Linked DNA regions of Neodiprion lecontei. The protein of the gene in region 1 interacts with the protein of each later gene in a pairwise test. Links are inferred from orthologs where the notes say so. Each region holds a gene or a part of one and is shown in the gene's direction. Other genes may lie near its edges. The genes, in order: phosphoinositide 3-kinase adapter protein 1 and nuclear hormone receptor FTZ-F1 beta.

Region 1 (16,951 bases):
GAATTTAGAAGGAAATATTTGGGATCATGAGAATTGTATTTTGAGTTTAAGGGAAATGTTCATTAAATGAACGAATTTTTTTACGGCACAGTACAATTGTTTCAAAACAAAATTCGATCTTTCAATGAATTTCATCTGACGAATTTTTTCAAAAACGGTTCAAAAATAGAAATAAATGTCCTTCCACTCTGAATCTTGCGTGAAAATATGTTATTTCGAAAACGGAATATGTTTACCTTGTTTCAAAAAAATCAACTCGGGTACTTTTGAGATGCGTTTAAAAATTCAAAGGGTAAAGACAAGTGATTGATTTTTTTTCCAATTTCTGGAAGGATTTCAAGGGTCGTACCAATATAGGAAAAGTCGTTGATGAAATGAAAAAATGTCACGGTCAACCGTTTGCAAAGTTGGCGTGGAGAGCCCCATATATTAGTTTGTTCAATTTGTAACTTTTTAGGTAACTTTTGTAGGTAACATTTTTGTGTACGAATCCATTTTCCAGAAATATTTTTATATCTTAATTAAAACGATACATACTGAGTATGTAGAATTTTTTATTCCCCTCATTTTTTTTTAGTGCATTAAATCAACCGTCAGCCCTTTGCCGAATGGAATACCATTGATTGAAAATATAAGGAAAAGAATTTTCATGGTTTCTGTCGACAGGCAACTTCGTATTGTCCTTTACAGCGTGGCTTTGATGACCTTTGCTATTCGGGGAATAGCAGGAGGTATTCATACATATTTCGCTGCGTTTTTTATTACCATTTCTTGCTTTCGTCGCAGCTTTTAATCCAACTCGATGAGGGACAACGGCAACGCAAAGGAGCAAGAAAGGGGCGAATGGAATGGAAAGAGCAAGAGGAGTGAGAGGAGAAAACACGTGTTTCCCAAATGTCAAACCTTATACGAGGAAAACACGTTGCCTATTGCGGCTGCCTGACAGATGCCCGTTTGTCGAAACAGCTGCTTTGTATTTCGTATTGATCTCAGTTCTCTGAAATTTGGTGAGTAGTAAAAACTTAAATGACGATCGTAAATTCTGACTAAGTTAAAAATGTTAATAATTAGTATTTGCATTTGGGTGAGTATTTGATGAAAGAGTCTGCGTCGCTGACAACAAATTGCCTCGAGACAATGTATGTATCTAGTAGAAATTAGCTTACTTTTTAGTAGGAATAATCATTTAGTATATTCTATGAAATGAGTCTGACAAAATGTTCGGTATTTTTCTGTTTCTTTCATGAATGCAATGGCTATTTTTACGGAACACAATATTCAGCAATTGAAAACAACTATTCCATCGATGCATGTAAAACTTTATTATTGCATAAGGCGATGTTATACATGAGTAAATTACTATAATCGCAGGTTTTCATTCTACTTACGAACGGAATAACGAATCAAATTTTCGCTTACCAATTAACAATTTAGATACTGTGGAATTTCGCTTGTTATTTTTATGTTCGTCGTAATCAACCAATTGTTTTAATGATGAAGTGATTGTAAAGACAGATCTTGGATAAATAGGTCATAAAAACACAGTAATTTATTACCGACATTTCGGCCCTTGGTATGGACCCTCCTCGGGGACTTTTATTCCATTGGAACAAAAGGTAAGAAATATTTTTCTATCAAGTTCAAGTGTACGAGCTTATGTCAGAAATCGGTATCGCCTTTTGATCATCGCCTCTCCCACTTCTCCATGCGTAGGAATATCTATCTAACTTCTTTTTAAAAACAATCAAGAGTTAACGCGGGTACTTTTAACAGTCGCAAAGTGGAGGCGGTCTAAGTTAACGGATAGTTGAAACTAGTAAGTGGTTAACCTTCGTCAACTACATATTTTGGGGTCTTCTTTTTACCTCTTTCGCCTCCTTTACCTTGCAACCTTTAGAAATATCCACGTTAATTCTTGATTGTTTTTAAAAAAAAGTTAGATATTCCTTCGCATGGAGAAGTGGGAGAGGCGATGACCAAAAGGCGCATAATATGCCGGGCTCTCCGACAACCACGATGGCCTCTTGCTTTAATGAGTTTTTAACATAAATTCGTTTTAATAAATTTAAGGTGAGTGTCCCTCGATTGAGCTCTCGTGTATTTTGAATTACGATTAGTTATAATTGTTCACCCAATCTTAGTTTCGCCTGAGCGGTATTGTTCGGGAGTATGTAATAAGCTACGTTTTTCATTTCTTTGCACGGTAGCTACGTGCTTGTTTGTAACTTGATGACTGACTTCGACGCTGGCTGTTCCCGGTCTACGTGCGACCTGGTTGTAAATATAGGTTAATTATTTATGACACGGCTATCTAACACGTGTAATAACTTGAAATAATTTCAATGATTTCTTTCTTTGTCACAGTAATTAAATGCGCTTTGAGGAAGGTCCGCGTGTAATCTGCAATAACTGACATAATTTTTAATCAACGCTAAGATACCTTGATCTACGTGACCTGACTTGTACATACGTGGTTAGTTACATCATACGTGATACCGATTTCTGACACAAGCTCGTGCACTTGAACTTGACAGAAAAATATTTCTTGCCTTCTGTTCCAATAGAATAAAAGTCCCTGAAAAGTGTCCATACCGAGGGCCGAAATGTCGGTAATAAATTACTGTGTTCTTATGACTTACCTACCCAATATTTCTCTTCACAAAGAATTATTTTGTAGTAGAAAGACTCCAACGGGGCCTTTATTTTATCTCGATGTATCGAGTTGGAGCTGACTAATAACAGAAACAATTAACAATAAGATTACGCCTGAAAGTATGCAACTTAAGTTTCATCGACGTAACACGGGACCACTTGCATCATATGAATACCGGGATCGTATTAACCATATCATATGAAATGGTTTGATTGTGCGCATGCGCAAAAGCAACTGAAAAACTGTCGAGCCGATTTTCAAACTACTTGTTCCAGTGAATATTTTCGACATTCAGAAGTGACTAAAGTATGTTGTTTCGATGCGATAAAAGGAAAGTAAGCACGGAGAAAAAATATCAATGTCATTAGAGAATGCGGCACTTCATATCGCGTGCTCGGAATTCATGACCGTTCTATCTTTTGGCTTGCTGTATTTTTATTCCTCCTGATGATTGTATGTTTTCGTTTGCTATAATTCGAATTACAGTGTTATATTTGATGGTAGAGGGAGTCTCGTTTATTGTTAGCTTAACCAGGAAAAACAAATCCGCCAGGTTCACTGCGATTTACGTATCCAATACGATAAGCATTCTTCCGACGAATTGTTTCATCCGTTGATATTATTTGATTATAAGTTATAGCTTAATTTATTCGATTAGGCTTTTTGAGCTGTTGATTGTGCGCATGGATCTATCTTTTTGAAATTTTATTTTTTCCAGAAATACCTTATGTTTTCATCCCGATAATAATAAGCTTATCATGATTAAATTGTTTAGAAATTGAAAAAAAATATATTCACGTCATAGTACTGATTAATGCCAAATTCAAGGAATCAATAAAAAAAATGTCAATCTTTTTAATTAACCGGCAAGAACAGGGGGGCACAACTGATTTCGGATAAAAACAAGGGCCAAACGACTTCGTGATGACTGTTGATTCTAAGACGTGGTTTAACTTATGAACGTACATAAAATGGTTTGAAATCTCTCGTTGCAGTGGAATCGACTCGCTGCTGGCTCAATTTTCTGCACCATTCTGTTAGTTCTTAGTTACTTTCTTACGGAAGTAATGGTATCTGATCGTATAACTGATTTCTCGCAAAACACTCGAGTACGAGATTCATGCTCACAATCATGACGTGGAAGTTAGTGGATACATGTATTATTGTTCATTAGAAAAGACTGATGAAGTACGAAAATTGAAAACTTTGTAAAATCTCATCAGTATTCAAGACCCTATTACAATCATGAGCAATGAACTGTAACTGTAACATTATTCTATTTGAAAGAGATTTAGCGCGTTCCGCCGCTAACTACAGACTCTTAAAGCTTCAGCTTCCGCTGACAATTTCTGTCAAGTTCTGTCGGATTCAAACCTATCAGAGAATCCGCTTGTTCGAAACAAAAATTCGTGGTGTCCGCAAAAATTTCCATGGAAATAAATAAGATTTCCTCGCTTACGCCAAGTAGATTATTTCATAGGTTTATATTCGAATGGCAGTATATTGTGTTACAAGGGCGCAAAGTGGCGGGCTTCCGACGAGTGTGAAGCTTGCAGCATGAAGCAGTTATCGCCCATCTGCATGTGCGACATACTTTATTTCTTGCGATACCTGTAAAAGGAAATTTGATTTGAGAAGCAACAAACGAGCCATTGATACCGCATAAAATTGGGTTTACGTAACTTAAGCTTACAATTGATGACAGTGCGTGAAATTGATTTATTCGAACGCGCGCTAAAGAAAGCCCTCGTGTGTAAAATTGAGTACTTCAGCTGCGCGCATGCGCAAACGTTGCTCAACCAGATTGATCGGAAATGAGACACCTTACACACGTTCCACGGGATTTGAAAATTGAACTTTTTAAGCACGTGTTTGAAAACATATCTATTGCGATTCAAGCTAATCGAAAATAATTTTTCCGTGAGTATATTCGTATTTCTATCTGATGAAATAATTAAGCACTTTCAGAAGTGTATACAATATGTATGTTCTACCGCGCAGGTAAAATTTTGTAGATTTCTTAACGGGATCTCATATTTATTATTACATGTTCGTTCCACGCAAAGAATGCATAAGTTTTTTTAATAGCAGCCATGTGCATACTGCGCTAAATTTTCAACACCCTTATCAAAATTATAGTAAAGAACAATCATTCATCTTCATCATTAAACCAAAAATTATCTAGCGTCATTTGCACTTCCAATATTAGTACTAAAAGAATTATTTTTGACGCGCAGTTTTACCTCTTGATTCGAATATTCAAAAATTACTTTTGCGCGTACGCATGTATTACAGAACGAAATTGGTAGTTCCAATGACACATCTGAGGGATTCATATTTCGAAATCATTCTTTTTAAGTTCTTTCATGATCGATCCCGAAATACTGTCTACTTGATGCTGGAGTCTGAAACTTGGGGAAATTTGAGCAGGAAACACACTCAAGATTTCATGGATTGCAAAAAGCACGTTCTTTATTAGAAAATGACCCCATGACGTCGGAGTCTGATTGTCGGCGCCATTACAAAATAGCACATAATCAAAGTTTTTAGTTTTAATGGATGCAAATTATAGTTTTTGGGGTTTCAAATTACTCATATCATGCAAATTAATGAAACGTAATCGATAACATACCTGTCATACCATCCACACGCGAGATAACAAGGTCAATGATTAGCTGTCAATCTGGTTGCATTAATTAACGCTTGTCAGACGCAGGGCTTCTGATTCCTTGACTTATTTCTCTCTCGGCACTCGAGAAATCTCGAATTTTCGAGAAATGTCTAAAGCCTTTAAAAAATCATAAAATTGTTAGTTAAATGCAAAGTAAAATTACGCTTATTAATAACCATGAACGTTTATTATTTATTCAACCTTTTTTAAATTAAAATTTTAATTACTTAGACATTTTCCTATCAAAATTATCCAAGTTATACTGTGTGTACCTTCTTATTAAACTTTAAATTCGTCTTTTTATTAAAAAGTAGATCATCCGACTACATATCTTAGCTTCCTTCCTGAGTTAAGTAAAAATACTAATCGAACCATCTTTTGATTAAATAAATACTAGATACTTGAAGTATCGTCATAAAAACAATCCTTAGATCAAAGTCGCACACAATCAAGACTACAATTTCTCGATTCCTCGTAACTTTTTTTCCTCTCGAGCGAGTCCAGACATCCCAAGAATTCGCGTTTCGAGAAGTCAAGACCACAAAACCTTAGTCAGACAAGTCTAACGATAACGAAGAAGTTTTCGAGAGGGAATTACGAAGTGGCCTCGTCACCGCGTATATCCATCCGCAGCTGGAGCAAAATCCGTGCGTTTACAGCTGCACGTATGTTAAATCGCAGCCGGAGAGGCGCGCGGCAAAGAAACGCAGGCAAGGCAAGGCAAACCGAAGAAGGGAACGGTTTCTTTTAGATGCCAGATGCGCGGGTGTTCCGAGGAGCGCCCTAACCAGACTTGAACGCGGTCACGTGGCCGCGTCGCATGGCGAAGCAAAAGCTCTGTCAGTACGTCGCGTTGCGCGGTCGCGAACCGAACGCGAGGACTCCTCACATTCTGGGTATCATTCGCGTGTACGAAGACCAGCGTTAACCAAAGGATCGTCGATTCGCGACAACCGCCAGTGCGCGTGCGTGTTTGCTTATTTATTTATTTATTTGTTTGTTTGTTTGTTTGTTTGTTTTTTTTGTTTTTTTTGATTTTTTTTTCGTCTCCTTTACTCTGCAAATTGAACTCTGGGTATCGAACCTTTTTTCTCAACACGATTTCGTCTCCGTTTGCGGTAACAATTCCCTTCGTACTTCGGAAGAATATCACGAGGTTGAAAATAAGAGAGAGTGAGAGAGAAACTGTGTCCGATCGTTCCCATTGACTGGTGCTCGGTGTTCTCTAGCGATGTTCTTCTCATCTTGACAACTTCAGGGTTTGAAAATCTGGAACACATGCCTGAACGGAGATTGTTTGGTGAGCTTCATTGTACTGTTAACTTCTGTTATGACGGCAGGGTAATTACCTGCTGCTCAAATTGTATAACCGATGATAAACGATGGAGGAAAAATTGGTGCTACTCAATTTACCACCATTTCAATTCGTCAGTCGTCGACACTGCTTCTGGTGTTTACGATTATAGACAAGATTTGCAAAAGGTGTTGTCCCTCGTTGGAAAAACCTCTATATTCTCGCGTACGAGAAAAGCTTGATATTCTGTCAAACGATGTGTCAAATTATATTTCCGATTCGGTACTAGAAGCAGTTTGGACGACCGTGTATTTTAAGAAGAATTCGATTGGCGCTGAAAGTTGCTCTAAATTCATTAACATTCGAATATATCCCAACCCCGATAGTACGTTCAATATTGGACGAAGTATTCTTTCGTACAGCTTGTGGAATACAGTGTGCTTTAAAGCTTGTAACAAGTGAAATAATACATTTTTCCGACCGCTTTGAAGAACCTGTGGGTGGGTACAACGAATATTCGTTCCATTAGGTGTTCCAGCCCACCAAGTATATTAATAGACTAAAACTGACAGGCGAACCAAACCAGACGTGCGCTGCTCTCTATTACCCCTCCCGTTTTTCCCCTCCCCTGCCCCTTCCCCTTCACCCCATTTATGCACGTGTGATTTACCCAGACTTTCCAGGATTTCGAAAGGAACGACGAAACTAGCGTTGCGGGTGGTTAAATAAATCGTAATTAAGTCGGTGCATAGATTTGTCGGCTGCAGCTGAAAATTTCCGTTGTTGCAAACCTAGATACGAAAGTTTCATTTTTTCTTATAATATGTACTCCTTTTTCCTGTAACTTTAAGTTCGATGCACATTAAGTCAGGTATGCTGAAATTTAAAATAGCCCCTGGATGATAAAATTTTCATGTATATTCATCACAGTATTCATTTATATATTTTGTACGAATGAAACGTCTGTATGATAATTTTGGTGAACATTTCTTTTCGCGCTTTTGTTAAATTTTTATTATAAGAATTTTTCACATACGTATTTATAGTGTCCGATACACATTTTATTTTCTCAAAATTGACCTATTTTTATAACGCATTAATACAAACATTTTTTGTTAGTATTAGGCCGTGATTCTATACGAAACCGTTCAATTTCTTGTTCAAGAATATCTACCTCTTTTGTTGTACGTGTCCCTTTATCTCGTTTTTTCTACAAAATTCACGTATGTCACTTTTATTTAATTGACATAAATCTTTCTTATGTCAAGTCAGGGCCAAACGAAATTAAGAAATAGATTTTGAACCAATATCGTTAGATTGGTTGTTTTCACGACTCATCGATAATCAACAACTCGCCCTCTAGATAATTCTAATTTATTAATTTTCAGCGAAACTACGAAGAAGTGATAATTTTCTGATCCCCCCAAATTTCATGTGAAGTCTTAATCGACACATTGCGGGTATTTACGGCATAAAAATGCAAAATTGATATATAAATCCATGGAACCGGACTACCAAGAATTTCCTTGACCCTATCAAAGAATTTTATTATTCATTTAGTATTGTTAAAAATTACACCAAGGATGTAAGATCTCTGAAATGCCTGCACACGGAAATATTAATGATTTCTGCGATGTATAATAGCGCCAATGATTTGCGTCATAATAATTACCGGCCGCCATTTGTGAATGTGAATAAATTCGATGTATTTTTCTTTAGGTATTTTATTCGTGATAAAAAAAGATTTTTTTAATATGGCGAGTAGATGCTCAAGTGAACGACATTTTCTGCCGAGAATCGACATCTGCGTGAAAATGTTTTTTCGTGAACTCAAATATCAAACAAAAACAGATGCTGGCCTGAAATCAGCAGACGCGTTCTATTTCAATAAAAATCTACTATTATTAGCTGAATTGGATTGTAACCGCTTCAACTGCTCGTGAGGTACACACTGCATCTAACTTATCTGCAAATCATATATGGGGCATTCCACGAGTTTTCGATCAAGTTCGGAAGTTGAGATCTTAGATTTGCCCCGGAATCTTTCGTTTGAAAATACTATTCGTAAAACACAGCCCCGTTAATTTCTGTTTTTTTTTTTTTTATATAACAAATCTCATCTAGTCTTCAGATATGATTTAATTAATTTGTTCCGAAAAACTACTTTTCTGAAATCTGCAAACGTCCAGAGCACATTAAAAAAAATAAAAATACAACCAAATTTTGGAATTCTTGTGGACGGTCGAATTTAATTTCAAATAATGATTATAAATATTTATAAGGGATAAAATTTTGATTTCGCAATGTATTCGTTATTTTGTAAATCCCTAGGTAAATGTGGTTTCTTTTTACCCATATTACTAAAAATCTTTTCCTCTTTTTCGTATGACAAATTTGTCGCAATCATAATTTGTTTTTTTTTTTATTTCCATTACCTTCCGAAACAACGCATTTTTTTCCGTAATGAAAATTCTATTTTCGACAAGTGCCAAAAAATTGTGTTACAAAAAATGGGTGCCCCGGAAACAGTAAATTGAATCATGTCTCAGATTGGGACGATTGGTTAAATAAAAACATAAATCGGGTTGTATTTTGTAGTCAGTATTGTAGTAAAAAAAATTCCAGAGTAATCTGAAATTTTAATTTCTGATCTTGATCGACATCTCATACATGGGGCATTCCATGCAAAATCATCGAACGTTTTGCCCGATCATTTTCAATTTGATCAATTCTACTCGATCGTAGAATATCCATTTAAAAAATTGAATGCTATGTTTTTCATGAGTTGAATGCACTCAAGGGTTCAACGGGTAAAATTTTTCAAAAATTCTTATCTTTCGAAAGAGTGAGATTTAAAATTTGAAAAAAAATTAGAATTTTTTCTTCACACGGATACTTGTTGACAAAATAAAACGGCCACATTGACATTAGTAGGTCACACCTTAGAAGAATCGCATAACGGTTACACTGCGTGAAATTTATCTCAAACGTGATGTTTTGCTTTAAAAATGAGTTTCTAAATATCCGAAAAAAATATCTAGGTATTGTTCAAGGATCGCAGAAAAAGCTCTCTCAGTTTTTCTGACCAAACTTGATTATTTAAATATTGTAAAACATCGGCAAAGTTAAGGAGAGTGCCAAAAATGTCTAAAAAACGTCTTGAAAAATGTTTCGAATGCAATTCACCCCTAGTGACCTATTAGGGTTAAAAGTAATCAGGTCAGAAGCTCGGTCATTTGAATTCGGCACTTTCCGAACTTTTCAAATTCGAGATTTCGGAGTAAGACGAATTAGGTACGTGGAATCGTAGGGGCAACCAACTGCGGAACAAGTATGAACTATAAATATTAACGAGAAGATTTACACGTGTTCCTTGGCACGCGTTTGTAAGGGCACGTATTTGACCGGAAATATGAGGCAGGTGCGAGGAAAGTGTAAAAATTATAAACAATCCGTCCCAATATGTGTAGCGGGACGGTCTTTATTTGTCGTACCGAAATCAAGGTGAATTGATATTCACACAGTTCTTCTGATATTTCAGCTATCTATCTCAACCGCAATAAACGTTATCATCAATCGTAAACGACGAAAAGTTACTTTTCATTGATATTTTATACTGAAACCATTGTTTTCAAATTATTAAACTAGCGATACTCATTTATATGGGTGAACGTTGAATTGTAGAAAATTTGGTTTTTAAAACCAAATCGTAACATACTTAGGTACATAGTTTTTGCAACATGATTTAATAATATCTGACCAGCTTTCAATCGTTTCCGTTTCTTTTTGAATCTTTCAAATGCCATACACAGCCATTGACTAAAGTTTTTTAAAGACGACTAGCCTCATATTTCGATTAAATACAACATTCGAATAAGCTTTATGAGAAATTCAAACATCATTACAGGATCAGATCAAAGCAGATAATTTTGTTCAATCATGATAAATAAATTCTCTCTTATCTCTAAATACCGAAGCCTTCTTTTTAATTTTCCCTCCTTTTTTTCGACGAAAAAAAAAGAATAAAAGATATTATTATAATCACCCTGAAAATTAAAAATTGAGTACTTGGTAGATCTTGAAATTTCAAGAAACGATGATATTTCGAGAGTGGATCAACGGATTTTGATGATTTGAAATCTTGCAAGTTGTACCGAAAATTTATCGTATTCTACAAAATTCTACGTTCAGTATGCTAAAATTCATTCAGAAGTAGAAAGGTTTTTGATTTGAGAATTTCGATTTGTATACATTGTTCGAGAATATTACAGTATACCATCGAAACGTTATTAGAGTCATCTGTTATCATCCCTATATTACAATAAATAATGTCACGTATTCTTGCATTCAATTATCGTGGCATATACTCGAGAACTTTCAATAATATTTCATCTATCCAAAAAACTTGCACCGATAATTCACGCTAACAATATTTTTCAGTGAAATGAAAAATCCACAACAATGCTCACCTCGGTCGACAAATCCGAAATGATTAAAAAGTGCAAATGGAATAGCATAAAGTAAAATAAAATTTAATACAACGGATTCGAACAGGACACCTTCATGACGATTTTACGATACCGAGTTCTTTTAGAGCAATTAGGAATACAATAAAATATGAGGGATGGAAAGTTCTAAACAAGTCGAAAGTAACTTTGAACAACAATTTTTATTCGAAGTCGAGTGTTCTGCCCCAAGAGCTAAATAACCGTCCTAACGTATTCTGAGGCACGTGCCGATACCTTCGGGAAAAGTCTTTTCAATACCCTTTCGCAAACTCGTGCTGCAATTATAAAATGCTATTAGCCTGGTGTACAGGTATAAACACGCGGAGCACGGTAATAATCCGACCCTGAGGCATTCTGGACTTGCTGCAGCTGTACAAACATGAATTAAACAAAATATCTATTAAACGTTACTTATAGCTGTATTTTGCGGCTGTTTTTGAATACGGTACAATTCTTCACATCTGTTAGTCAGCCCGTCTTGTTCCTAGCATAAATTTTATGGAACAACGAAGAGCCGCTATTTTTACATGGTCTGACACAAGCGGTTATTTTCACTGTAAATATCACGTACTCGGAAAAAATGAAATCTATTATGCGTTGTTCGTTGCATTTTTGACAAAAGTTTAATCTACTTCTAAAGGGACAAATACCCGAATAAACGATCAATTGAAATTCCTATGAAAATTTGGTCATTTTGCAATAGAAAATAGGCATTTTTTCTTTTCCATGTGAATTTTGTCCGTTCTTGTTGTTCTATGAAATAAAATCGGTCTCGAAAAATCTGAACCTTTATATTCGCGTTAACGTTTTCTTAGTGTGTTTCGGAAATTAATGATATTAAGAGATATTGACGGAATGACTGAATCATCGAGTCAGGAAATAAGTATGAACTACCGAATGAACAACTCGTATCAGTCTGTGAATCAATTTTAGAATTTGTTCACAGAAAAAGTTACAATAAAACATTAGAATTTTTTAAGCAGTTGAGTCCTTGTGCAGTTCTGATTTAAAATTCTGAAGCTGTTCAAAACTCTTGCTTTTAGTGGGTACATTTTTTTCGTTTTTTTATGTTGAATCTGTTTCTGTATACATGTTCATTATTCTTGAAGGGGATTGCAAATTTCAAAATCAATCAAAAGGCAATAAAACTTTCGAAAGTGATGTATTATGTATACATTAGGGTGGTCCTTAATAGGGTTGTTTTTGAATTTTTTAAACGTTTTCAAATTGATAAAAAAGAATTCCCTGAAGATTCGAGCTCTCTATATCAACTCTTAGATAATCCACTTTTTGATCGAAGTATTTTATGAGAACAACGTGAGAAAAACTTTTGTTCTCTTTGAAATTTTATAAGTCGTTAACGAATATACCGAAAATAATGAAAAATACATATTTTTGTAGAGAATTGAAAGCTCTGATGCATAAAATTCGTAAATGAAAGCGTTCATGTATTAATTAACATTTAAAGTTTATTTTTATAAAAAATTATCATTCCGTCAAGTATAGCTACAAAATGAACAATCGTGTAATAAAATATATCCCACATTACTTGTAGGCTATAAAATTTAAGATAAATTCATGTAATTACATTATTGTAAAACCTCATTATATAATAAATGAAAATCGAAAAATTACTTTTTACTAGTATTGATCGATGCAATGCTAAAAAAATTTACAAAGTCTTGATTGGTACTGTGACTCAGTCACAATTCTCTGCAACAATTTGTATTTTCCATTATTGTGGGTATATTCGTTAACGACTTATAAAATTTCAAAAAGCAACAGAAGCTTGTCCCATTTTATTTCCATAAGATACTTCGATCAGAAAGCCTGCTATCTTATTGTTAGAGTTGAAAGAAAGCCAAAAATTTCAAGGATTTATTTTAAAACTAACTTGAAAGTGTTTAATCCTCTGGGAAAATGAAAATTCAAAAACAACCCTTTCATCGACTACCCCAACGTACATATCAACGGTGCATGATTTTTTCCCACACTTATGGAAGCACGACTTGTCTACACGTATACCATACGTAAAGTTGGATACTGGGATTGGCAGAGCGACTTTCAGTGACCAGAGGACGACGTTCTGTTCGGTGCGAGTCCGATTCAAAGTCGTGGAACTATTTCTAGTGGTGAATGAAATGTTTAGCTCAGCAATGATCTATAAATTGTGTCCCCGCCCAGCAGGAGAGCTAAGCGTGCCACGATAAGATTCGAGATCGCAGAACCCCGCAGAAGACGAACGAAAAGTTCAATTGCGATTCGAGATTATCAACGTCAATGCACTTTGATGTAGGTTTTTATCACGGGCAAGAGAAGGACATGGTTATACACGGTTGAACACGCGTCGCGAATAACTCTCTTCGCGGCATTGGAAAACGTGAGAACCTTGCTTGACCGAAGCGATAATTCTGTGTGCAGATACATTAACATACCTACGGTGCCACATCTCTTCTCTGCATAAATAAAACTCAACGTCTTTCTTTCTGCCTGTCCGTATCCTCGCTTGTAACTCCAAAACTACCGAACCAATTTAGATTCCTTTTTTTTTCTTCTGTGGATAGCAACAACGTCTGAACAGGTTTTAGGATATACTTTGTTACATACTGAGAAAAATTTCATTTGTTACAGTACGTACCGAAATGTCAATCGAGAAACACACCTGATTAACTTTGAAGGAGGAATTTCTCAAACTCTCAACAACTCATTATCGAATAATTATTTTCATACAACCCCCGTTATAACTGAATTGTATGCGCCATTCGATCGGTTTTCATGTTTCTATAATTTCCAGTACACCAGAATTGGACCGCATTAAATTTCGCCTTACAAGTTTCTGCTCAAATTCGAAACCTTGGCCGTAGAAATTAATTATGAATTGTCAATCGATCGCGCTTCACGTTTCACCTTATAATTTAGAGATTGTACAATGAAATTATGTAGCCGTTTTTCACTCGTCGTTCATCCAACTCCTCAGAAATTCTAAGGCTTATTTTACTGGAAATCTTGGCCGATGATGATCAACGAGAAGCTATTGAAAATGCGTTAAAAAAATGTACGATTCACGCGGATATAAACTACTAGGTATTAGATAATCAACGTTAATTTTCTCAATAACACCTGTGGTAGAATTTTTCCTCCACGTGTACCCTTCCGATTTGCTCCCCGAGCCTTAAATTTTTAGATATTCCTGCACGTACTTAAAAAATTTGTCCTTTCTGTGTCAAGCACACATAAAAATGGACACCCTGTAGTCACGGCTATACACAACAAACGACAAGACGTAAAAATAAGTTAGAATCACGAATGCGAGACGCACTGCGGAAGAAGGCCATATCAGGACTTCCGAGTTGTCGCTGATCGCCATCCGCTGGCACTTATGCATGGTGCACATACATCGCGAAGATATATAGTACGTGTAGACTTCATCGTGGCTACGTGTTTATTCGTATACAACGCCTGTACGTGCGGCTCGATCGGCAATAATATACCACTTATTATTAAGCAAGACATGTACAATTTTTGTCTTATTATTAGGCACCTTTCGGAGCCGTGTCCAACACGTGTCTGCATTGGGGATACAATGTTGTTCCATCTTGTTTCACTGCGCAACTCGATACAGCGTCGAATTTCCTTTTCTCTTGATAGAAACTTTTACCATCGCACATGCCCGTGTTGGTTTACTAATTTTAAGAGAAATATTTTTGCGAATAGTTGAAAATTCGTAGGGTTCGAAATTTATTGTTCAGTCAACCAATTGCATGACGAACTTCGTTGTAATTTTTGGTTGGTGAATTATAAATCAACGTTAATTTAACCAAACTCTGTTAATCAACATGCAGCGGTCAAGGGTACAGTAATGATTGTGCAAAGAATTTTACAAATAAGCTAAATGTTGTCTATTTATAGATCTTCAACTCGACTATTCGGTACCGTTGAAAACACACCGCTTTAATGATGATCTGTAAGGTTTGCGGTTGGAGCAACTCCTCCACAGTCACCATTCACAAATATGTTAATATTGACTATCTCACATTAATCAACGACACGATATACTTTGTTACTAATCGTTTTTGGTGTCGGTTAATTTTATGTGACTGCTGAAATATTTTCATTTCATTTCTCATTTAAATTGTGATCATTTTCAATTATCCTGGTAACGTTCAAGTCACCCTGCAGTAGCTCGTATCGACAATAATATTTAATGGTAATTAAATTATATCGTTGAACAGATTAGATAAAGGAGCCGTAAATTTTTAAACAGTTAGGTTGGCGATGTGATTATTAAAGAAAACGTCTGGCATTAAAATCCCTGCGAGCACAGCGATTTTTCATAAACCAAGAATGTGTTTTTCATCGATTTGCGGTCAATAGTAAATTGATAGGAACAAAAATGCGTCTTGCATATCACAGAATAAATAAAATTACGCATAGCTGATAGAAAATCGTTTTTTATGGCACTTATCGTGCAGATATTGCTCCGACTAAAGTTTCTCTCTGGTTTAGATTACTACATCTTACGGTGGAATTTCTGCATTGTTGTGTCAAATCTATATACAAATATCATCAATCACGCCGATAAATTTTCAGTCATACACGCCATGATTTTACAAGCAATCTTAACTATAAATCTCGATTGTCCCCTCAGGCAACTATATTTTATAATATGTTTGATCAGAATCTTCTCCCAGTTCGTTAGGCACAGATTCGATTGAAAATCACTACGCATTCAATATTGCAGTCAAATTAGGTACCCACCTCATCTACGTGAGTCAGCGGTACGGCCTGATAGAAAGTTTTAGTTTGTCTCTTTTAATTCGTGGCTATTTTTTAGCGAGTTGCATTACGCTAAAGAATCCTAGCGCGTAAAAAATTTTATCAATGGTATTCGAAACGCAAATTGTCCAACAGTAGCTTACTTTTTAATCAAGAAATATCAATAATTTTTCAGATTTATTAAACATAAGCTAATTGAAAGTGAAGATGGTTCGGGATATAAAAAAATTCATAATTGTTTCAAACGAGCCTTCAAAAGATTATTTGAGAAAAAAACGAGATGCTATTACCGTAAATTGTCCGTATATTTCTTCGCATTATTGTACAATAATGTGATCTAAACTTCGATAATTTTGGATCAATCCACCTAAACTCTGAATCTTCTAGAATTCTATGAAAATACGCATATTTTGAAGAAAAAAAATCAACAAAATTCGTACATTTGTGCAAAAGTTGTAGCGCTTTAAAAAAGAACGTATTTTCGAGAAATCTGTATAAACGGGTATTTGGAAAATACAAATGACAATAGTCATTCAGGCAAATCAACATTTTTTTGGGAGAAAACGAAGAAATACCGGTATTCTAAACTTTACCAAAAAATGATGCATATTTTTTTGTCTTTCAATTGTTCGTCTCTTGACATTTCGTATGAGACTTGAATATCCTTTAGCCACAGCACACCGCAAGCCTAACTTTTTCTAATCCTGGATATAGGCTCGTGTATCATGAATCCTACGTAATAAGAGATCATATGCTTTATTTCCTGTCTGACATAATCTATGCGACTGAATGCCACGTGTTTATATTCCCTACGTGTCAAAAATTTTGTGTACCAGCTCTGTTCACCATAATTCTATAAACCATGTTGAACGTGTGTCAATCAGCCATATTCTCTAGAGTCTAGATAATTACATTAATTTTCTAAGCATCTTTTGTTAAAAATGAATTTAGCATGTAGCAGATAAATATACTCTTATTTAGATTTGCGGAAATTTTTATTATTAAATTGGTGACAATAGGTATGAGATTTAATTTTGTTACTTTTTTTC
Region 2 (17,050 bases), on another chromosome or scaffold:
CATAGGAATACACGACAATAACGTCGTTCATTTAGAGCTAAAATTGCTGTGCGTAGTGTTTTAAATCTGTCAGCACTTAGCTGATTGTTCCGTGGTATTTTTTGACGAAATTTACTGTCATAAAATCACAATGCGTTATACTTACATCCATACGTAAACGTGATTTGTAGCATTATATAAAAAAAATCTTACGGGCAGATTCGGTTTGCGTCACATGCACAAAGACAGTGTTCATTCTGTATACTGTGAAGCAAATACCAGAATTTTTTGGGGAGTCATCGTGCCCCAGTCTCCCCTACAACTATGTCATCTGGTAAAACACTGACAACAAGTGAGCGAGTGCACGAGCACAAGAACCAGTTACGCTAGGCATCCGACCCCGAGCGAGCTTTAGCGAGCGAAGGTTTCAAAGCTAGTTGTAAATGAAGTTTCATAGTTCATAACCCCGTGTAACTGAATCGTTCATCGAAATGAACCATGTAATGAGCAAACCCTGGGAAACAGCCTACGGCATACGCACTTGGCGACAGCGCCTGCGTAATCGAAGTTCTAACCTTGACGATGATAGAGAAATTCTTTATTCTCATTATTTTTCAAGTTCACAGCGGTCTCGAGTTTTGCTGAAAAGTCATCCAGTCAATTATGTGATCCTCGGTTACCTACGGAAATTTGAATTTTATTCCTTACCCTGATCGTAATGAAGAAAATCCTGAATATCACAATCCGGTAAGAAGATCTTTGGGAATCTGATAAGCTCGGTCTGGAGCTTCGTAAAAAAGTTTTCGTAACTTGGACCAACAATTTTCTACTTGATCTGATTTCATTATGAAAGTGATCGTGTACGACTTCCATGGTTCACTGAAAAGTTTTCTTCATTAAAAATCTTGGGAAGCAGCGTTAGTCACGCGTTGTTACACTTCTCTGAAAACAAAACAACAGATTTCCGTCAATCAGTATCAGGCGAGATTGTGTCGCAATTACTTTATGCAGATCAGTCTTACACGGATCTTTCATTATTAATATTTATTTTATACGCGGAATTACTTCAGGGACTGAGTTAACTTCCAATCATGCATGTCTGTAGAGTAGTTTCGCAATCTATGTAACTTGGTACAAGTTTAGCGGAAGCTTCGGTCATGAGAACAAGAACAGAGCCTCAGATGGGGTGACGGTCAATACTTACTGTTCATAGCCCGCGGTGTCCTGATTTACTCGAATGAATGGCTTTGCCAAAGTCTTATGATCGATCCGAGTTATGAATCTATCGTCGAAGAAATTGACAACGAGGTGAAGCTCGGTTGTAATAACTTACGATGTTTTTATTATCATTCTGCATTTAAACTATTACTATTACGCGCATTGATATTTTTTGGAAATGCTATCCTTCGACGATTTTCGGAATTCGATTAAATTCCCGAAGGTCACGCTAATAAGGGTCATGGATTTATTCTTTTCGCTGATTCCGACGAAGCAATATCCGCTCGCTTTGCAAGACCCTAATCAATACCAAGTGGGCGCAGCAAAGTGTAATTCGCTATAATCATCATCAGTTTAAATCCATGCCCACCGAATGAAGGCTCAAATTTACTCAAGCGTAAATTTGCGTGTGAAGCGCCGAGGTCGGAATTGAAGCAGTGCTATAATCTGCTTTCAGACGGTCTTTCGCACAGACTTATATTCGACAAGTCCGTCCAGATAAAACAATTAGACGTGGTGGAACAACACGGGATCCTGCTAATCAGAGCCGGCGACCGCGGGAGAGACAGCAAAATCCACGTGTTTCGTCTGAGCGAGTTCGATGCGGAGGCTGGAGGAGACACATTGCCCAAGACGAGATCACACTCCAAGGAGAGAAAACTGGAGCGCACCAGAGGCTGCCACATATACTCCCTTACTCGACCGGGTGGCTCGCATCTGCGAATGGTGAGTCCGTAGCAACTCGAGACCCTGTTCAGCCCCCGTGTAATCTTACTCTCAATTTCCTCTACCTTGAGATAAGCAACTCATCTCGCGAAAGCTTGAGTTCGGTGCTTAAAACGGATGCGCGGGAGATCCGCTCTATCACCTTTATCAAGCTTTGAAAAATGTCGTAAATCAGTCCCTCGGCTGAGCAGAAGCAGTTTGAGAATAATTTTCGAGGCTCAAGCTGATCGAAACCGCTCGATCCTGTCGACGACCTTAATTTTCATCTACTTCCGATTTTCCGCAGTGCGCTGCCATAGGGCGTCGACTGGTCGTTATGCAGTGGAAACACAGCGCTGCTTGGACCGCTTGGTGCCCAGCATCCGACACCGACACCGTCGACGGTTTCGTCTTCGTCAAGGAATTGACGGCTAGCGAAGTGCCGAGCTTCGTGACCATCGTTGAGGGGGCGACGGGATGCGGTGATTGGGCACTCTGCTGCGCTCTGCGACATAATTTCGAGCTCATCTCGGCGGAGGGTGCATCGAGAATACTATCCGTGGAAACGAGCAACAAGCCCCATCTCGTCGCTGCTCTGGACCTTCGAGAAGACGAGGAGCCGGAACTGCTTCTGTGCTACAATAGTCAGTATTATCGCAAATCGAAGCGAGTTGGTTCGCGAGACACGTTACTGCAGGTATTTCTCGGTATAATTGTTCAATTTTCAGATACGTGCCATTTCCAAAAGCTCATGGACGAAAGCATGGCTTCGACGGCGTTCGATTTTCATTGGAATTCCGTACCGACGGCGGTTGGTACGTGTGGAAATTTCAAACAATGTCATCGGTGAATTCCGTTAATACTGATTGTGATTTCATTATTATCCACAGTATGTGCATTTCCATACGTAATCGCTTTCACATCGGACACGATGGAGATCAGATTGATTATAAATGGAAATCTTGTACACACAATGGTGATGCCGAACTTGAATTTAATATCCTCGAAGAATGACATATTCTTCGCGACCACGGCCCCGGAATTCTTCTCCACCCGCACCGAGAGGATCCACTTTGATGGAAAGACGGATAAAGACGACAAGAACAACAGCCCCCCAGCATCACCCCATTCCGGTAGGTTACGGGAACAATGAGAGGGCGGGAGCAGGTGTTCGCAATTATTTTAATTACCGCGGGGTCGCTTCGCGGGCTTGAAACCGCGCTGAGGACCTTTCGCATCCTATTTTTTGCTTCGGTTCTTCTTTTATAAGTAACGAGATGCATGCCTCTGAAACGTTATCGATTTGCCGACCGATAAATTGAGCTCATTTCTTTTACCGGCGTATTAACTAAAATGTCAATTCGTCGTTGCTCATCCGACGGTTTAATTCTACAGCTATTCGTTTTTGACTCCGCAGCCAACCCGATCTTTTTACAGCCCCTCTTTCAGCCTCACCCGAAGCCAAGCCGATGAGGATCTACAAGATTCCTCTGAGCACCCTCTCGGGAACAACGGTTGCCACCTGCGAGAGGCGATGCCCGAGTCCTGCGGAGCCGGATTTAGTACCCGCACCACCCTCTGGGGATGCCAACTTTCTTACGGTCGACTCTAGCAGAGCTTTGAGCAGATCGTGCAGCAGCAGTCCGACGCCCGGTCACGTGCCCTGCTTACCGGGCATGGGAATAAACAAGTAACATTGTTATACAAAACGTTGAAGAATTGGATTGAAATTAATTTTTCTTTAATTGACAGAAAACCAAGAAAAAAAAAGAAACAAACAAAAAACACAACAGAAATTAGGATTTTTACGAACGATTGAATCGCCAATGCCTCAATTCCACTGAGCCCACATTGGGGCATTAGCTTCAAGCATGATGATATATAAATATATAATATATAAAAATATACGGTATAAATAAAACATAATATATAAATTTATACATAGTGCTGAAAAATAATTATATGACAGAATTTCATTTGTGTGTTGAATATCTGCATGCAAATTTCGTACGTACCTTTAATCTTTATAGTATTATTATTATATTATGAGACACGTGATTGTACACGTCTTTATTAAACGTCTTCTCTTCTGTGATACGGCGATACAGCTATTTTAAAACTTGAAAAACGTATGTTAACAATAAGAATATATAATAACCAATTACAGTTACACAGATAATAATACAAATAATAATAATTATTATTAAAACGATAATAATAATATTAACAACAATATTTATCTCGATAATGGCAAAAACTGTATATTATTTTAACCTGTGCAAACTCCACGCACATCCATTAGTCTCGATTAATATTCATGTGATACGCGAACGCCATTCCCTAAATAATATGTAGAATACAAGGAATGAGGCGGATCATTCATTGTGTTGCCCATACGCGTACGGACGTAGATTCGATCGAAAAAATTATATTATTCACAAATATTTGAAAATGTACCATATTTTATTTCAGAATGCGCGTACGTCTTAAGTAACCTCATATAATGTTATAGATGTATAAATATAGTTTAGCGTACTACTGTTATCTAGTCCGTGACGTTACCTGCATCTACTGTCTCTACTATGATTTTTACTATAAAAAATGCATAAAGCACACACATGATATAAGCACAAATATTTGTACACGTACATTTCAGGCGCGTTAGAGTAGTGGTGAATTTTTTATTTACCGGCCCGGTATTTAATTTTTAACTAGCATGACTGAGTGATAGGGTAGTTGATTGATAGTGATAAATAAAACTAAAAATGAATGTTCGTCGTAAATTGTAATTGTCACATTGAAATGCAGCATTACCTGTAAGTTTCACATTGGAAGAAAAATGTTTGCTGCGAGATCCGTTATGTTGTTACAGCAATAAAATGAGTTTCTTTAATAATTATGTATACTAGTGACTTGTGTTGGCCGTGTGCTGATTCCTGTGATCACATCGGATTCGAGATAAAATATCAAATGTCACACTACTCTGTGCGTATTATTATGTACGTGTAGGTGGCATATATTATTTATGATTGATTTTCAGAATTGAAAAAATGAAACGCATGTACAAATTTCTGTTATGTTTATTTCACTATACATAGATTAAGACATACAGGATGAACAATTCCCTGACGACAATCTATGATATGGTGTGAAGCAGATTGAATCAAATTGTTATAATCTATCAGGATTGGTAAAAAATATCCAAGGAAGCCAAAGACTAAGGAACCTCTTAGGAAATATGTACTTCCCGTGTTACACTGTACGCACTAATCTTCTCAGGCTATACTTTCGCAGCCTTTGAAAATGTACAATATGAGGTAAAATTAAGCAGAAAGCAAAAATAAAACAATGTAATGGAGTTATATGAAGAAAAAAATATATATGTATATATATGTCAAGTTTAAGAAGTAATTTTAAAGGGTCAAGGGAAAGTGGTGTGAATTGAGTTTACGTCGGTAACGCTGTTTAGAAATTTTCTCCCTGTCAAAAATGTTTAATAAATATCGAAAGATTAATTTCTCAAAAGTATAAAGACGAACGCCTTATTCTACGTACGTGGTACACTACTTTCCCCTGCATATTATAATACATTACAGACACATTGTTACGGGAGTGAGTTGAATTTATTATAAGATAATATATGACAAAGGTATTTAAGCGTTGTAAGAAAATACAAAATTTCTCTAAAACCAGTATACAGTTTAAACGATAGTCTTCACCCTTCGGGATCCAAGTAGAAGAGAAGATTGTGAAAGCTGCGTATCGCTCTTGGTAAAACGAAGAAATTGAAAAATATCTACAGATATTGAGGATGAGAAAGACTGCTCGGAGCAGCATCTGCCAGATGGCTCTGGCATTTCTTTCCTCGGTAGTCGACGGTCGAACTTGAGAAGCGTGGCGTTTATTTGGATATCGGAGTGTAGTACACGCGACTATCGAACACCACCAGATGGTGTTAAATCTCGGGCTGAAATAATTGGTATTACCTAAACTCTTTTTTCTCATGAACCGTGAATCCCCCGTTGCAGCGTTGGATTTCCCCGAGCTGAGAAAAGCACGGTATAAGAATGGTGATACCACGAAGAGGGGACGCTTAAAATGATTTTCACGTCCGTCAATGATACAGTTGCAACAAAGAATATATCCTAATTAAAATTCAAGTCGTGTATTTGTTGTCTACGTTTTACTAGTATAGTCAACATCATCCGTCCACGCTGCTTCTCTCATAGAAGATCTAAACTTCTACAGCATACGGTATATTATATCTTTCAGCTTGACTCTGTCGTAATATTCTAATATCAATGGAACGGATCGAGATTATTTATATTAATTGAAGAGTAAAAATGTCGTAAATAAAATAAAATCGGTGTGGTTTATTCAAATATTCCAATAATACATCGATGAACAGCAGTAACGATACGTACAATTTTCTTCCGGAATGAATTACAATAAATCTTACATCGTTAGGTACGATAATGACGTAAGTATTCCCGTATCAAGCAATTTACTAAACCATTGAATTTATCTAATTTTCGAATCATCGTGGAACTTGCAGACTCAGAATTCAAATTGAATATTCGAAATAGTGCCACGTCGAACGAATGACGCGGATAATTTATCCGTCGAAAACTTAGCCGAGTCCAGAGAATAACCTCTGAAGACAAGTAAGCAACCCTTCGGCTCGTGGGGGTTGTCGAACTCATGAAAATCTATGTATACAAAACTACCTTGTACGAAATACGAAGTGTCCGAGATTTATAGTTCATTGTAAACCATCGCCGGCTGCAACTCCGAATCATTTACGCACAACGCGCGCTCGTTCTTTCGTACCGCAGTTTTGTTCATCGTCGGTTATTCATTTCGGCTCCCCGTTGTTTTTTATTTCCGTCTAATCGATAGGTCGCGCGTAGTTGGCGAAACGGAGCAGACGTTGTCTATGGTCAGTAAGCCCCGGTGGCTGCGTAAAGGCCGCGGGGTGAGAATGAAGGGGTGTTTGAAGTCGCGACGAGTACGATGTTTTCCGAATGAACGTACGAGGAGCGAAGGGAGCCGGCGTTAAGTGCCGGTCGGAGCTGCCCCCTGCCGGCAATGCACTGTACTATCTTTGCCCGTGGTACTATAGGTTCCCCTGTGCGCGAGGCTTGTAACTTGTAACGTGAAGGTGTGCCTAGCCTGGATGGCCTGTTACCTGCTGTAGTACAGGGACAGCGTATTGTGAAAGTGCTGTGTGCGTTCTCCGAAAGAGAGTCGTCGGAACCGATCGCGGACTAGGATATTCCTGTGGTTTTCGCGAGACATCATCCGGAGCATGAGGTGAGTTTAACGATATCAAAGGTTCCTTCTCGCGACGCGTTTTCGAACAACGACGAGACATCAAATGTCCAGAGAGAGCGGTATTAATAGGGTTAGCGAGTGGACAGAGGTTATGTTTCGCATCTCATCTCCCCACTCCGGGTTGCCCTCTGGAACCAGAATCACGGCACTTTGTCTCTCGGGTATATTCTTCCGATCGACCAGGTTGTCAACGATCTACGTATGTACCTATTTTAAACGTTTCGAACGGAGAAACGTAGCGAGTCCTCGGAGTATCATGAGTGGATCATTCGACAGCCGCGCACGACGAGGGGAATCGAGTCGTCGTCGTCTGGCGAGGTATCGCGAGCGCACCTGACCGATTCTTTTTTGTTTTTGCTCGAGCCGCCGCGCTGCGGTCCGTTTCATAACTGCCCGGGCTGCTGCTGGCACTTTCATACATGTTTCGCAAACAATCCGTTTGCTTTGTAGCTCGCTGTTGCCGCCGCCGCCGCTGCTGCTGTTGCTGCTGCTGCTTCTGCTTCTGGCTATACCGCAATTTCATATTTGTTATATACGCGAACCGCGCCGACGGATTCGACGACTATCGAAGAGTTGATACCACCTCGTTTATAAAATTATACTACTAATACCACCGCGTACATTTCTCCTTACTCCCAAGCTATGCATACGTGTGATATCGTGTACGTTACTTCTCTCTCTTTCTCTCTCTCTCTCTCTCTCTCTCTCTCTCTCTCTCTCTCTCTCTCTCTCTCTCTCTCTCTCTCTCTCTATCTATATATCTGTCTATCTGTCTCTCCCTCTCGCTCTCTTTTACCTCGCACACGTTGGCCTCCTTCAATTTAACGTTTGTATAAACAGAATGCGAATACGACGAATAGGAGCAACTCGGCAAAGTTAGACGGAGACAGGTTTCGCTCGAAAGTCGAGTATTAACATGCGAGGAAATGAGACGGCTTGTTGATATTTCGGCGCGCAGGCTTCTGGCTTGACACTTGACAGCGCGGCCGGCCTTGAGCCTCCCCTTTCCTCTCCGCCGTCCCCGTCCCCTTCGCCTATCTCTATCTCTCTCCGTTCCCCGGCCTCTTTATGCCCTCCTCTTCCCCCGCCGCCTCGTCCTCGCGACCCCCAAATCACCTTACGCCTTTTATCTTATCCTCAGCGGTAAAACTACTGACCGCAGCGAGCGAGGCTTCGTCACAGCGGCTATACCAGGAAAGAATAATGTCGCATACCTCAACCGAACCCCCCCGACCACCTTTCAAAAAATCAGTAATCTTTTTCCACACCCGATTCAGCGTTTTATACGCACGTCGGCGTACGATAGTCATAGATCTGTATTTCACCGGCGAAATGATTCATTTTCTCTCCTCAAGGGTTTCGAGAACGCTCATAATTCAAGCCAATACACTCGGAATACTATTTACACGACATAGTTCGATTTGGCCGATATTATACTTATAGTCACGGCGCGCTGGATGGCAAACATTTCGATTAGAAACAGCTTATCTGAAACACGCTGATTCACGAGTTAATACCCGATCGGCTAAATCTCTGGTATACCTAGACGATAAAGCGAGCAACGTGTTCGCGGTGGCTCGCACCTCCTTCTCCTCTGCATCAAACCCAACCCAACAGAACCCAACCCGAGCCAAGAATTGCGTCAACGATTTTTCCGACGATTTAAAAAATTCCTACACGGTATGCGATAAATTTTATATTACACACTCGGGAGTTGAGGAATGGGCAAACGCATATATCGACTCCGAGGAGGAAGGGACCCGCGATGCAGGAGTGCCTCTTTCGGTCTCTCTTCTCTCGATCCTTGAGATGCGGATAAACCTCCGTAGGCTTATGAATATGGATGAAAAACCTTTCTCGACGCAGTGCAGCCCGGACCGCACCTCGCTGCTCATTCACTCGCTCGCTCGCTCGCTCTCCAACGCGTTCTTATAACACGCGGAGCTCAAGTTTTACCTGCGCTATGCCGCGCGATGGTATGCAGCAGTTATGTGTTGTAAGCATATTACGGGATGGAGTTGATCGTAACCCCGCTGGCCGCACGCGCGACGGGCTTTCTTTTTAGAAGACCAAAACCGATACTAGATTCACCTTCCGCATCGGAGTTCGCTGCTGCACCTCGTCGACTCGAAGCGAAAACTTTTTGGAATAAAAGATGTACACCTACCCGCCAAGTTGGACGTCACGACGTCGATTCCGCACCGCGTTAATAGTTTTCCACGCTTTCCTGAGAATATTCGAGTGCCCTTTAACGCGTTCGTGAATCTTTTTTCTCTACCCTCGTTCGCTCGGCTAGTACTCGTTAGTTGGCTCGGTATTTACCGTGCGGTATATCCTAACCCGACGTAATGTAGCGGATCGAGCACGGCGGTCGGCGCCCGTTTCTTGGCGAGCATGTAACTGTATTTTCTCCATGGTACCCGCTGCCAACGACGACGACGATGACGACGATGACGGCGACTCCGACGACGACCTTCTCTGCAGCGGTTACCAACAGTTTACGCTTAACGCTGATGCATAGTCAGTCGGCGTGGCGGCGCGTGGTCAGTCACCAACTTGTAGGTACACACCTATTCATCATCTAGCCGAGCTTTACGCGTCTGCGGCGAGCTGCGAGATCGTTTCGTTCTGCGCGATATTTTAATTTTTAATAATGCAAATAAAACAAACGTTCCGTCGCGCCCGGCATCGGGCGTTGAAAATAATGAATCCCCGCACTGATCAAATCGTACATCTGTCCACTTTTTATTTTTCGTAAATGATAAAAAGTCTGCCCAATGCCAGAACAGTGTCTCAATCTTTTTATCTACGAGACTATGGGCAACGCACTACAAAGTCCAGACCTAAACAAGTTTTGCCAATTTTTTGTTTGCATACCTTCGTAGACAAAATCGAAATTAATCATATTTTAGTGTAATGTTTTTTCTTCTTTACTTTTCTTACGCATGTGTTTTATAACATTTTATCAGCATTCAAATCGACCGTTTATAAATTATACATACCTGATTTCCATATTGAGAAACAATCTACCTTACTTAGCTATTAAGAAGTTGCGTTTTACAACATCGCGCTGTAGTATAAAAATTTTGAACATTTCACAAGATGAGGCATCTATATGTTAATGGATAGCTCATACGCATCGGAATCGTAATTTCGGAATATTTTCTGTGACGTTATTATATTCAGGATTAAATGCCCAAAAAATCCAAACAACCGGACGAAAGTACTCGGCCGGACGCTGAATTGGTACGCTCCCCAACAGGTTGCTTCACCGTCGTCTTCTTCCATACTTGGCCACAGATTAAATATTATCGATACAACATGTGGCCCATATGCAAGTATACAGATGCGATTAACTATCAAAATTGAATAAGTCTAAATCCGTGATTTAATCCCCAAACTGCATATCTATAAAAATCTCACACTGTGCAATCGTCGTACGTAACGATGATTTTTCCTATATTTACGTGCGCACGTATGAATCTAATATATACCAATCTAATGCGTGTATCGTTAAAATTGAAAGGCCAACGTACAATACATTATCGTTAAATTGGCGAATTGCTGCGTGCGAAGCACCGTAGCAGCGCCCAAGTTGCTTTTTTGCCGCTTTTTAATTCTTGGTTCTCTCATTTCTTACCCTGCCTCGCCGCGCCGCGGAGGCTGTGAGCGTAAGACTGAATGATCTCGATAAATCTGTCACTAACTGTATCCGTGAAACACCGCACACATGCAACGTAAGTCTACGCGTCTACCCCAGGAGTTCAGAGCTCCGAGTTCTTATACCTACACTGCAGATCGCCGCGTGTGTATGTGTGTACCGTGATCATTTCCTTGGCACCCTTCCAACCTATACGAAATTTTTATTATACACACAAACCTGTCTACTACCTACCATCCCTCGAATCGGCGCCATTAATCACCTAATAAAATCTACTATCTATACATACATGTAGGTACGCACACGGATATAGGTACACAAGTAAAAACAAGACGACGACACGAGGCTTGTGCGAAACAAAAATTTAATGTTGCACGCTACATTCGTCCTCGCAACGTATATATATATATATGTATACATACATACATACACTTATAAGCATTTGCACCTTTGTTATCTTCGCTAAGAGTTTACTTACTCACGAGAAAGCATTTTGCTTTACTCCGCGAGAAAACGACGACAGAGGAAATCATGAGAAATTCGGCGCTTCCCTGCTGCAGCGGCTCGCCGTACCAAAGAAATTAATCGCGGTCATTCCCGGGCAGGAAGGGGAGAGAGTAGAGGATGAGTCTCATGCACGGAGTGACCGGGGCAACCGTTCGGTTTGCAGACTCTGCTGTGCAACGCTGCAACGTGCGGTTTGAGGTGGTGCCGCGTTATGGGACGCCCTTCTTTCCTCCTCCCTTCTCCTCCTCCTCCTCTTCTTTTTACAGGTTGTGGTACCTCGCGACGACTCCCTCAGGTAGCCTCTCCGTGGTGCAAGAGGACGGAACTTTAGGGCCATGCAGCAGCCGCAAGTGGATTCTCCGTGACGAACTTACGGCCGCGGAGCAGACGAATGCTCGACACCCCGGCGCGTAGTTGACTCGACCAAGTCAGTCGGCTACCTCCTCGCCTTGTGGTGGCTATCGTCCGACATCGTCGCGCTTCTGACTCTCGTCGATATTACAAGTCGCCTATGCCCCGCGTTTCTTTTTTTTTCCTTTTCCTCAACCTCTTACACCTCTATTTATCGGCATACAGGTGACCGGTTTGATAATTATTTTTCCCGGGGCGGGGAGGAACCCGAGGCTGTGGTGCAAAAGTTTTTTCGCTCTTTCGCGAATCCGTAATCGTGCTCTTGAAACGGAATGTACCGAGTACGGAATCCGATGAATACCAACTGTAGATAACAAGGTTTCAATTGAATTGTGTTATAGCTACAAGTGTTTCTCAGTTATGAAACTTGAAAATTGTATCGTTGCTATTGGACAACGTCAATTGTTGAAAAGTTCGGACAATATTATTCAGTTATAAAAGTGCTACGGTATTATACGATAGTTGACCATTAAAGCTTTCAAATCACAGTAGTGCAATTAACAGCAGGAAACAAAGGAAAAGATAACAGACAATTCGCGTTTTTTTTTTGTTTGTTTTTTTCTTTACCGTCGTCATTATAATTATCGTTTTGGGAGATACCATTATACGTATACGTGCACGTTTTTAAAAAGTGTACCTGTGTCTAAAGTGTACGGCCTAAAAATGCAAATAATTAACGTGCAATTATAGTGTATCAAGATATACGGAATACAGTCATTCTAACGGCAAGGATTACAAAGGACAACGTCGTACATCGCGAAGCAAGTGGACAGTGTGGCACAAGTAGGAACTCGAGTTTGTCGACGTTCGAAAAGTATTTTTAAAAAAGTAATAATGGACATTGCATGATGTATGTTCATATACTGGAGATATAACGAGTGATAATTCCTACGTGATCTGGATCATGTAACATATATATTATACACTTATCGGGACATATCTTACGTATTTCTACAGATTACGTACACAGGTAATAAAAATTATTCCTGTTTACTGCAGCCATTGAGAATTTATGTACTCGTACGTACACACAAATAAAAAATAGGCATACCCTAATTTTATCAATATTTGAAATCCGAGATTAAGGCAATTTCGAACGAACGATCTTTATCGAGATATCGGTGTGCAGGGCTTCACATGTATTTGAACGGAACGGAAATCTCGAATCCAATCAGGAACCGGTTCCTTTCCAGATGTGTTCGAACGGATCCGCGTTACGAGAATAATAATTTCAATTGGTATCGCCGGTTAGTTGTAATATGTATATGCCTACCTATCTCTCGCTTGAATATACATGTACATGTGTATTGTATGGTGGAATAAAGATATGCAGTAGTTGCGGCAAGCAAGGCCCGGCACCACTCGGTGAAAGGAAAACAGACATATCTCGTATAACAAGTATGCGCAAGACGTGAGGAGGGACGTTAGTATTTTACACCTATAATGCTAGGTATTTAGCATACATACATACTACATTCGAAGGAGTCCACTCCAAAATTAGAAACGACCTTACAGGCTTCGTTTGACGTAAGAATTACCAACATTCGACGAGGATTACGTTCCCCGCGCGTTCACGTGAAAACTACCGGCGCAAGTTCCATGAATTCATTGAATATTTCTTCTCTCGCCTCTCCTTCCCCCTCTTCCTCTCATTTCCTTTTTTTTCTTTTCTTTTTTCTTCCTCTTTACACAAAGATTTCGCATATCTGCCGACAGGGAATTCGAATATACCGACGCAGGTTCGACGCGTGCATACAAGTGGGAAGCCTGTCGTCGGAAACTAATAAAGGTATCAGACAGTTTCCACTCTATAGAAATTTCACGGAACCGTGGTGGTTCGCCGCGACGCGACCTGAGAGCACGTGTTGGCTGGTGGCGCATGCGCGTGACAACCGCCCTTAAAATAGAGCAAGTTCGCTCGCGAACGTTTCCGGTCATTGACCTTTCGTTCGTCTATACTCTCTCCGTGTACATGCGGACGCACGGGCACATCCAGCCAACCGTACACGCGTATGACTGCGGTGCATCGTTGTTTTGCCTAGGACGTGTGTACATACGCTGATGCACGTGCTGCAGAGGTGTACAAATGCACATGCGCGTCGTGTACAATACTCAATGCCTGTTCGGGATGAAGTGCACAGTCTTCGTCGGTAAACGTTCCGCCGGCTTTATTCCCTTTCACCGCCATACAAGCTTCGATTTGTCAATCTATAAAGATTATACTCCTACAAAATTTCAACAATCAATAATCTTTCACCGCCAATATCTATCTATATCAGACATATTTCAGCCTCTACATTGAGCGTAACGATAGCACGATATCCCCGTGTGCATGTACATACATACTCTGCTTCATCGTAGGCAGACAGACACCCACACGTACGGGTACGCTGCAAGTAATTAACGGGCATCCGAGCATCGTTGACAACAGTTTTCCGTCCCGCGTTACGGGGGGGGGGATAAATAGTCTTGAAAGCTCGACGGCGATTGGTCACCGTGGTTCCGTCGGGGGTTCGAGGGGGTGTTCAAGAGGGTAGGGCGACCGGTCTAGTCTCCGGACTCCGGAGTCTGACTCAAGTGGCGGCTCGTCGAGGTGGGGATAGGAGACCTTGAGCGGCGTCACGTGACCCTAAGGTGCATGGGGTAGGGCGACGAGGGCCTTGACCTTACCGGCTTGGGAAGAGACTGACTTACTACTGCCGCGTCGAAAAACGTCGGTCTTTGCAACGGAACCCCTCTTAGAGGCGCGGGTTGTGCTCGACGTCGGTCGGGATGGATTGATAACGAGCGAAGGGAAGGGCACGGAGGGATACCTCGATGGGGGGGGGGGGGGGGGGGGTCGACGCGTAGGATAACGTGACTGACTGACTCCGACTCTACCCACCGTCATGGATATATTATATGTCCTTTGTTTGTTGTGTGCCGTCAATTCGCGCGAATGACTGCCCCGCGTGCATGCATACGCGCGTATCGATATATACAGTAGGTATACGTTTGCGTGCGTATTAAACCCTCTGTGATAAACTTTGTGTGGTTGCCTTTCACAATACAGTATATTATGCCTTTGTACACTGCAGCTTATTACATAGTTTTACTAAAATACATGTGCTGCTGTGGCATATGTTTCGATACAAATCTATACAAACTCGTTAACACCGTTTCTGCATATTAAAGACCGTATGTAATACTATTGTATTTTACGTCTACGTTACATTACAGGTATATACATTATACGTATATACATGGAAACACCTTTCAACTCACAGAAATTTTACGGAACGATCGTTGTACTGTAAATGTATGTATGTGTGTATGTGTGTAGGTATACACACTATTGTATACATACTATTCCCGAGAGACAAAGGAGGTACCGCTATTGCGTCACCTTTTTTCGTCTTACTTTTTTATACGTTTACATTAAGCCCAGAGAGGCGGGATCATGGCAGTTGCGCCAAATATAAACTCTATATCTATCGGTTATTTGATCTGATTTTTTGTCATTGCGTATTCGTATAGGTATAATGTATGTAAGCGTACGGATCAAGAATTTTTAATGCCAAAGCTGATTTATACAGTATAAGATATATATATCAGCTAAGGTGTTCGCTGAAATCGTAGAATGATTATGTCATGGCATTTGGCAGTTTCATACCTACGACGAAAACGACACCTGGAAATATAAGAGAATTTTGTGTACAGCCTGATATTTGTAAAAAAATTTATCTCGCGCGATTCATCAAATTTATTAGAAGCAAATGAATTCTTTTTTTTTCTCTCTTTTTTTTCGTATTTTCGGTTAACTTTCATTTGTTACGTAATGATTATCAAGACGGAGAAAGTATATTACACGTGTTTATGTATTAATTTTTATCAGGATCCGCGAAAACCGGGATTAGCCGTGAAATTTCTTAGGTCGAACATCTTGAGCGAACACCAGATTCCGATTGTTGGACGAGCAACAAAATATTACCGTCCATTTAATTATCCGCATGTATGGATGCCCGTGAAGTTTACGTGCATAGGTACATTATTACACCTATACCTAGTGAATAAAAGAGGTGCAGCTTGGAAAAGTCGGGTATGCGAGTGCAGTTGGACTTGACGAGTATGCGACACGGTGGTGCAGGCTTATATATACGTATGTAAGCTGTATAAGCCGAGTAACAGGACGAGATCAAAGCCTAAGGCCTGCCAGGAATGCAGGTCCTGTGATTATCTACTTATTTTGTCAATAAATAAAAACCGCAAAAACAGGTTCCCATTCCCGCGCAACTCCATCGCACCGACAACGGTACGTATAAGACGACGACGCTGCTTCTGGCACTCCCCGCTTCTCTTCTTCTTCGCGCGGCTAAATTTCCCTGCAGGCAATCGATTTTCGAAACATACTTTTTTAGCAATCTTTGCCCGGGAACTTGTTTCGTCTCATCGATTCCCCTCCACCTCATCCTCCTCATCCTCCTCATCCTCATCCTCGTCAACACTTTCCTTCTCGCTCTGATACGCTTCGAGTGCCATATTATACACGCTCGAATTCATCCTTGTTCGACCTACGCAAGCGCGCACGTTTTCCGTAGAGGCTAGGAGACACCTATGCCTGTAAGAATGTACGTGTATTCAAAGTACGCGTAATATACGCTCGCGGATCCCTCCCTCCCTCCATTCACGCGACGCCGCGATCTCTTTCTCTTTCTTCGCGTCGCGGATCTTTCGTCTCTCTCATTCGTTACATGCGTCATATCTGGCAACTTTTTATGTAGGCCGTTGGCGGCACAAATGTACAAACGTACAAACGAATATACGTATATCTATCTCGACTCCGCCGGTGTGTGCCCCGGGTATTTATATTTAACCAACCGACACTTGCCATGTGCGTGTCCTCTTCCGCGCGAAGGTCGTCTGGCACCGGAAGTGGGCCGGCCTTGCGGGACGACCGTTATACTCCGGAAGTTATACTCTCCCGTAAAGCCTGTAACTCTTTTCTACACCATATATTCCGAAAGTTTACGTACCCACATTACCCTCGTTGTATGTACTGTATAGGCTTACGTTGGAGGTAATTGCAGGGGATACGGAAAAGTTCGTTAAGGAACGATGCGCGTGATGTTGTTGCCCGCTGACCAACACATTAAATTCAATATTACGGTTATGCGGTTTAATTTCGAAATGATTTCTGTTCTGCAGGTTCGGTTTGTTAGGGTGATAAGATATTTATTAATTTACGAACGCATTTTA

The links.
Region 2: the proteins of phosphoinositide 3-kinase adapter protein 1 (region 1) and nuclear hormone receptor FTZ-F1 beta interact in a two-hybrid assay, tested with the Drosophila melanogaster proteins (2 studies listed by BioGRID). The link is inferred for Neodiprion lecontei from reciprocal best matches to the Drosophila melanogaster genes stumps and Hr39.

What each region holds. Positions count from the first base shown.
Region 1 is NC_060260.1:11,737,223-11,754,173, forward strand, and holds the start of phosphoinositide 3-kinase adapter protein 1, read left to right. Parts: upstream 1-6,393; 5' UTR 6,394-6,624; intron 6,625-16,951.
Region 2 is NC_060262.1:31,239,899-31,256,948, forward strand, and holds the start of nuclear hormone receptor FTZ-F1 beta, read left to right. Parts: upstream 1-7,028; 5' UTR 7,029-7,215; intron 7,216-12,112; exon of another isoform or gene 12,113-12,785; intron 12,786-17,050. Other genes in the region: GTPase-activating Rap/Ran-GAP domain-like protein 3, read left to right, coding at 1,655-1,923, 2,210-2,546, 2,631-2,717, 2,793-3,035, 3,340-3,596.